2 linked regions of the Ovis aries genome follow. The protein of the gene in region 2 purifies or fractionates together with the protein of the main gene of each other region. This does not show direct contact. Links are inferred from orthologs where the notes say so. Each region holds a gene or a part of one and is shown on either strand. Other genes may lie near its edges. The genes, in order: MAPK14 and PTPRR.

Region 1 (3,916 bases), on a different chromosome or scaffold from region 2:
GGCTTATTATTTAATTTTTAAAGTTAACACATCAAAGTGTATCACACTTCAGAGCAATCAAATTAGGAAACTGACACATTATTTCAGTGATGTTGCATTCCTTGAAATACTTTCAGAGATTCTTTTTTGGAACAGACTTCAATCCAGTTCTACAAGTCCCACAGGAAATTCTGTGTCATTACTTTACGGTTACAACTCCTATTTGACCTCAAACAGTATCACCAGCCTGGCTGCCTGATCTTTTTCACCAGACTTGAGCCCAAATTCTCTAAATGATTTGGATTCAATCTAACTTCGTTATTTCCTAAAATCAAATCTGCTCTAAAAAAAAAATGAAGAGAGTGAAAAATAACACAGGCTCCAAAGTGGATTCTAAGAGAAGTTTAAAAAACATTTTTTTTTTCTGCCACACCTAAAAGCTGCTGACTGAAAGAACAACTTGAAATAACTACTCTGAATGAGATAACACATGTGAATGTAAATTCTGATATTTTCAATCCAAAATCAACTATACTTGTTTACGGTCAACTGTCACATAATATTGGTTATTTTTCTCCACCAATATGTTATAGGTTACACCTTAAACAACCTTAGCAGAACTGCCTCCACAGAAAGACACACAAGAAACTTAACAGGGGTGGTCTCTTGAGAAAAGAACTAGTCCAGCTGGACAAAGAGAATGGAAACTTTTCACTGTCTTTCTATGCCTTTTACATTTTATACAATGTGAATGTACTACCTACTTTTAAAAACCTGTTTAACAAAATTACTTCCAAGTGTCAGTTTTGATGGCTTCTATAAACCAGAAAAATAAAGCACTAAAAAATGTGGAGTTCATGTTTTATCAGCACTTCACTGGATCTCCAGTGCCAGGGCTGAGTTACTCACATCAACTGTAGGGAAACCTTGCAAGCAGTTCACTAACTCCCCACAGTTGAGCCGTATCACTCCACTAAAGTTTAAACAACAATGATAGGAAACAAAAATTCAGTACCACAAAAATTAATGTGTCAATTCCAGAATGAAAACTGGCCGTAAACAAGTGAGCTATTAAAGCAGCAATGATCCAAACACATCTTCGAAAATTAGCGAATCAACAGCACGCTATAAAAATGGAAAAAAGATGTCAAGCATAGGGCCATCAGCGACATCACTCAAGCAGCCTGAACTAGAAAACGCAATATGATCTGTTGCTGGACACAATTGCACAATCTCAATTACCCAGAAGATTCTACCAAACAGGAAATTCATGCTGGGGCTTTAAGAAACACAGGAATTATATTCAAAGATTACCAAGTCTAAAAGCCTGGAACCTGCCCCGAAACAAAAAACTAATTTTGTAGACCTCTTTGCAAATAATGCATGCACAGGAATTACATGAATTAGCTTCAGGTCAGCTCTCAAATTACACAAAATCTAAAATACAGTGTATAAAACCTTAGAAGTTAGAAAAGTTAGTGAACTGAGTCTGGAAATTTTACAGTAGCGTTTCATTTAAAAGACATTCATAGTGTGAATTAAAGCTGAAAAGTGTCTCTTCCTTCTTTTGCTATATATTCCATATCCCATGAAAACCATTATGTACCTCTCAGGCCTTAAGTGCAGATTAAGTTCTCTGCAAACCCTCTAAAGGACTTTAAAAACACAGTGTTTCACAAGAATTATCACGATTAAAAAATATTTATAATACATCGCAGCATTGTTAAAAACTTTTTGATCTTGAGGGCGTCCAACGGATCTGAACCTCACTTGCTCCAAAGGAGAAAATCGTTTTGTCAAACAATACTTAAATGAGCAGTGGTATGTGACTAATCAGCGAGGCCGCCAGCTTCTCAAGCTGCAGGCACTACCACCACCCCCCACTCTGCGAAAAGGAAATACGCTTTCAACTGAATCGGAAACACACCACTCAAGCTGGCACAGGGCTCACCGAGATAAAGTCGGTATTTTAAGCTCCCTGGATAGCTGCTAATTCAAGTGCGAATTCAAAAAGAACCCTTCTCAAAATGCAATTTCGACAGAGGTTTGCAAAAAAGCCCGAACTCAACGCCCTTCGTCCTCAGTTTTGTTCAGATGACCGCAGTCGAGCTTTGCCCTTCTGCTTCTCCGGGCAGCTTCCCGGGCTTGTCTGCTCCGAGGGCAGGCACATCTCGAGAGAGTCCTTCTGCTCGATGCCAGCAGGGAGAGACCTCCGAAGAGGGACCCCTGTTCCTGCCCCCGTAGCAGCACCGCCCCCCCACCCCCACCCCCACCCCCAAGGGAACGCGCAGGGTGCGAGTCAGGGCCCGGCTCCAACACCATCACCCACCGCCCACAGCGGACCTGCGTCCTACACACAGCTGACCATCTACGTGGGCGTGCAGGGTGGGGGTGCAAGGGGGACAGGGAGTGCAGGACAGGGGTCGAAGAGGGCTGGGATGCCCTCCCCCCAAGGAAAATTCCTGCCGCTGGGTGCATTGCTGAGCCGTGGGGGCAGGCCTGACTCCAGGGCATACGGAGACACCCGGCCCAGCGAGGCCCCCGGCCCGGTGACACTCACCACACAGAGCCATAGGCGCCGGAGCCCACCGGGGACAGGTTCTGGTAACGCTCGGGCACCTCCCAGATGGTCTTGTTCAGCTCCTGCCGGTAGAACGTGGGCCTCTCCTGAGACATCTTCCAGCGGTGGCCGCGGGGCGAGGAGGTGGCCCTTGCAGGGCCCCGCCTGCACCCGCACCCGCTTCCCCTGACCTCGTAGCCCGCCCGGCCGGGCGGGGACCCCTGCGCTGGCCGCCCGCGCAGGTGCGGCTGCGGCGACCCTGAAGAAGCCCGCGCGCGCGCGCGGCCCCTGTCAGCCGCAGCGGCTGGACGCGCCTCACCGACGGCGGGGGAAGCACTGCGAAGGGCCGGGGCACGCTCCGGGGCCCTGGGCTGGCGCCCCGCCCAGCTCTCCCTGCGCTCTCTCCACACCCGGCCGACTCCCGGCTGCGCGGCGGGGTCACAGCTCCAGCTGCAGCGCCCGCGGAGCTTCCAGTGGTCGCCTTTCCCAGAGCCAGCGAACAGGAGCCTCCCGCCGTGCTCTCGCGAGAACAGCTCCCGGACCTCTCCTCGAGCCGAGATTTTACCCAATATGGAACCTGCCCGCGGGAGGGGGGTTGATGAAGGGAGAGCTTGGGAGAAGTAATTCTCGCGAGAAGAGAGCAACAGCTGGCCCCTAGAGGCAGGAACTCCCAGGGATTGCTCTCCTTTAGCGCGCGAAGGCGGACCCGGGAAGGAGCGGAGAAGCAGACGATACAGGCCGCGCGCGCCCCATCGTGGTCGGCGGGGCAAGTGCTTGGCTCCCTGTTGGAAAGAGACAGTGACAAATCAATCGGGTGTCTGGGAAAAGAGCCAAAAGACCTTTAAACGGTGGGTAATCACCAGCAGCTGAGCACCTGCTCGGCGGAAAACCCCCAATTTCCAAGAAGTACTTGCATAAAAAAGAGAAAGATTCCGGCCAGAAAGCCGTTGTAGTCCCATCTGCTCAAGGACATACACTTACTCTTCGGAATGCTGACGAAATCTGTCTCAAAGGTAAATATTAGCCCTGAATTAAGGTTGAGGTTTTTCCACCCAGACACTTCTAGTAGTTCTCAAACTTTTACGTGCAGAAGAAGCACCTTGGGCGCTTAAAAATGAACAGCGAGTTTGATTAGATGGGTCCCAGAGGGACTCCAAGACTGTGCATTTTTACAAAATGCGCCAGGTTCAGAAAAGTTCTTGGTATCTCCCTTGGAGAAACATTTTAAAACCTTTACCCTGAAGGTTTGAAACTGATTCCTACCTTGAAGAGCTTCCAGCAAAGAGGGTTTTAAGAATTGTAATCATGCCTCTCAGAGTAAGAACAGTGCAGATAGTGGTTTTCTGGCAGTATCCTGTTGGGCAAGTCAATTGACCT
Region 2 (3,816 bases):
TCCTTCAGGATGGTTCTTCTTCACTCTTTATTCAAAATCCTCTGCCTTCGTGTTCACTATCCTTTATCCTCTTATACCTAAAGGGATTTTAATAGATGCTGTCTGGAGACAGAGTCTTGCCTGATACAAAACATTTCTCTCTTAGGGAGAATATTTTGGGAGGAGTGTCAGATTGGTGAGACAGGTATTCAGGGCCTTTCTATTTTTACCTACCAGGGTAGCTAGTCTTGAACTATGAGAAAGTTGACAAACATTTTCTGTAATGGACCAGATAACAGATATTTTAACTTTCAATTTAGACAGACGATCTGTTACAACTACTCAACTCTGCCATTGTAGCATGAGAGAAGCCTTAGACAATATGTAAACAAATGGCTACGGTTTGTTACAATAAAACGTCTTTGACAAAAACAGGTGTTATGCCAGATTTGGCTCATGAGCCATAAAATGACAGCATGGGTGTTCTTTATTATTGTTCATTATTCTTGAGCCCTGCAATAAAGATCAAAGCTTATACTCCGGAAATGCGAAATGTAGGTATCTTACAATGAGGCGATTGATGTGCACTTGCTGGGGTAAGAGTCCTAAAGCTGCAGCCACTCCTTGGCGAAATATCCGAAGCAAGGTTATGTTCAGCCTGTTTACATCCATTTGCAGTGTCTGGAAAATAAAAAAATTCAAATTATAGTAAATATTTGATTTTCAACATTCAGTTCCTGATGGATGACTGACCACAGAAATTCCTGTGACTCTGAGAAATTCACAGCCATGGTGCTTTATTTTATTTTTAATGGAGATAAAATTATAGGGACGTTTTACATGAAATTTTAAATGGTGTTAGTTAAGAAGATGGTACATTGTATAATAATGTGATTTGTCTAGTTATAATCAAGAATTCATATGAATGATCAATTCATAAAGAATTTCACTGAAACGTGTACTGATTTATTTTGCTTTAAGTCCAGATGATAAAATGGAACGTGCAGCCAAGTACATTTCAGTAATCCAAGCCAGAGGACATCTTTAATTTGTGTTCACACACAGTCACAGAGAGGAAGATTCTGTGTAAGTTCCATAACACCAGACTTGGCAGTTTCTCTATAGAGCAATTTGCTGCCAGTGCAAGGCAAAAGAATGAGCTGCAATGATGCGTTCTCAAACTCTGGTAAAGAAATCAATGGAACTGATAATTCAGTCTAAGGTAAATAATTCTTATTCAATTGCTTGGGCACACACTCTTAATTTTCAAATAGCTTTGGAAAAAGACAACTAAGTATTTAAGAATTCCTAAAATATAAACCAAGGTGTGCAATTAATACTACATCCTTAATTTAAGCCATGGGTGCTGTTATTACATTCAAAATCAGTTAACTATGTATTTTCAAAAATGCATCATAATCACTTGAAATGGATGCTTTGCAAGGTGGGGAAACAAAGCTCATAGGCATTTCTTATTTTATAACGCTTAATTCCCTAATTTGACCATAGAAGATTAACAGTAACTGTTAGATGACTGCAATACCATCTGTTCTATAAAATGAGGTGCAGGTCTATGTACACACTTTTGTGATTAAGCGATTGGCTTTAAGTGTAATCTACTGGAGTGTAAGAACTCTTAGAGGACCTTCTCCCAGTTTGCTGTGGAAGAAGAATTAATACTGCTTCAATAGTTTATAGCTTTGTTAGGAAATAGTAACTTCTCTATACGTAAAGTTGGTACAAAATAAGTGATTGGAAACTGGACCAAATACTCATTGCTACAGGTGGCGCAGCGGTAAAGAATGTGCCTGCCCAGTGCAGGAGATGCAGAAAACGTGGATTTGATCTCTGGGTCAGTAAGATCCTTGGAAGTGGAAATGGCAACCCATTCTAGTATTTTTGCCTAGAGAATTCCATGGACAGAGGAGCCTGGTGGGTTATAGTCTCAGTTCAGTTCAGTTCAGTTGCTCAGTCGTGTCCGACTCTTTGCGACCCCATGAACTGCAGCACGCCAGGCCTCCCTGTCCATCATCAACTCCCGGAGTTCACCCAAACCCAGGTCCATTGAGTTGGTGATGCCATCCAGCCATCTCATCCTCTGTCTTCCCCGTCTCTTTCTGCCCTCAATCCCTCCCAGCATCAGGGTCTTTTCAAATGAGTCAGCTCTTCGCATCAGGTTATATATAGTCTACGGGGTTGCAAATAGTCAGACACAACTGAGCACGCACACACACACATACACAGAAATCAAAGGGAGTGGGGGAGGTCAGAAGAAGTATACTGGTTTCCAATCAAAATGTACACCCAGCTGAAGTTTATACTGCTTTTGCACCTTCGAGTCTTTTAACACTTGCGTAGGGACAGGGGCCATAGGGCTTGGTCATGTTAGGTAGCTGGAAGACTCCTGGCAAAAACCAGAAATCCAGAAAAGGGAAGAACTATTGAAAAACTCTATCCAAAACCCCAACTATAAGGTACAGTTTGCTTCTGGGGAGGGGAAAAGGAGAATTTTGCTGGGAGTATGTAGGAAAGCTACATTAATGCCATCAGTAACAGACACACAAAATCAAACAAAAGCCATTTAATGATTCACAGTTGTTTGTTATGTTATTCTCTGTGCTTTTCTATGGTTTTAAAAATGTTTCCTTTATACAAAAATACACTTTGATGCAGTGGTTTCCTAGGTGGCACAGTAGTAAAGAATCCGCCTGCCAATGCAGGAGACACAAGAGATGTGGGTTTGATCCCTGGGTGAGAAAGATCCCCTGGAGGAGGAAATGGCAACCCACTACAGTATTCTTGCCTGGAGAATCCTATGGACAGAGAAGCCTGGCAGGCTACAGTCCAGGGGATCACAAAGAGTTGGACACGAGAGTGACTGAATACACACACTTTGATGCAGAAAGTAAAACTGAAGGATGAGTAGGATATGGAAATGCAGTAATGAGAAAAACCTAATACTTTTAAGCACACTTCATGTTTTATGAAAACATGCTTTATGGAAAATCCAAAAGATTAGAAAAACTAAATCCATCTGGTAGCTCTGAGAAACAGAGACTTCCTTTTATCTAACAGCTTACTTTCAGCTCTGCAAAGCTGTGGAAGCTGCCAATAGATATTGGACCTTGTATTGGAGACTGTTCACTCCCCTTCCTCTGGAAAGCCCAGAGATGGGTTCCTCTGTTACTGCAAACACTGATGAGGAGCCACCGACTTCTGGCTCACCAGCAGTGTTTGTCAGGCAGGGTGAGCAAGCAGGCACAGCCCTTGATTCCCATGGGCATGATTTGGAGCCAACAGTCTATGCTGAGAACTGCAAGCCAAGGGGGTTGTGTACACACTAGAGAGCTCAATTCCCAGGGCCATGATTAACTTGAAGCTTGTAACTGTGGAAACAGTATTAAAGTCTAAGTTTCTCAGATTGAAATGGCAAATGGATGTGAAATGGGAACTCGAGGTTTAAAATCACTCAAGATGGCAACATTCCAAGAAGGTAAAACTGTGCCTTTGAAACAGAAAATTTAGACTCCCTAACTAAAATGAAGAAGTGAGTTGAAGTAACTGGTTAAAACTCCAATCATCCAGTTCATTGGATCAAAATTTGAATAATTTACCTCAGTTCTCTGCTTGCCTGTGAAAAGCTGAACTGATCTCAGAGCACATGCAAGTATTTCTGACTATTCACCATAGAACAGTAATTCTAAAATACAGTACCAACAACAACAACAAAATGTATTGGAAGGCCTCTTACATGCCAGACATTATATACAATTACAATTGGAGAAAAAGAAAGGGTTCTAGACAAAATGAAAATTTCATTTCAGGGAAAAGAAATAT

Evidence for each region.
Region 1: the proteins of PTPRR (region 2) and MAPK14 purify together in Homo sapiens (affinity purification with mass spectrometry; 4 studies listed by BioGRID and IntAct, counting the BioPlex papers as one, with this or other methods). This does not show direct contact. The link is inferred for Ovis aries from reciprocal best matches to the Homo sapiens genes PTPRR and MAPK14.

Annotation. Positions count from the first base shown.
Region 1 is NC_056073.1:10,093,556-10,097,471, reverse strand, and holds the start of MAPK14 (mitogen-activated protein kinase 14), read right to left. Parts: upstream 2,658-3,916; 5' UTR 2,656-2,657; coding exon 2,540-2,655; intron 1-2,539. UniProt on the Homo sapiens protein: Serine/threonine kinase which acts as an essential component of the MAP kinase signal transduction pathway.
Region 2 is NC_056056.1:149,058,850-149,062,665, reverse strand, and holds part of PTPRR (receptor-type tyrosine-protein phosphatase R), read right to left. Parts: intron 661-3,816; coding exon 547-660; intron 1-546. UniProt on the Homo sapiens protein: Sequesters mitogen-activated protein kinases (MAPKs) such as MAPK1, MAPK3 and MAPK14 in the cytoplasm in an inactive form.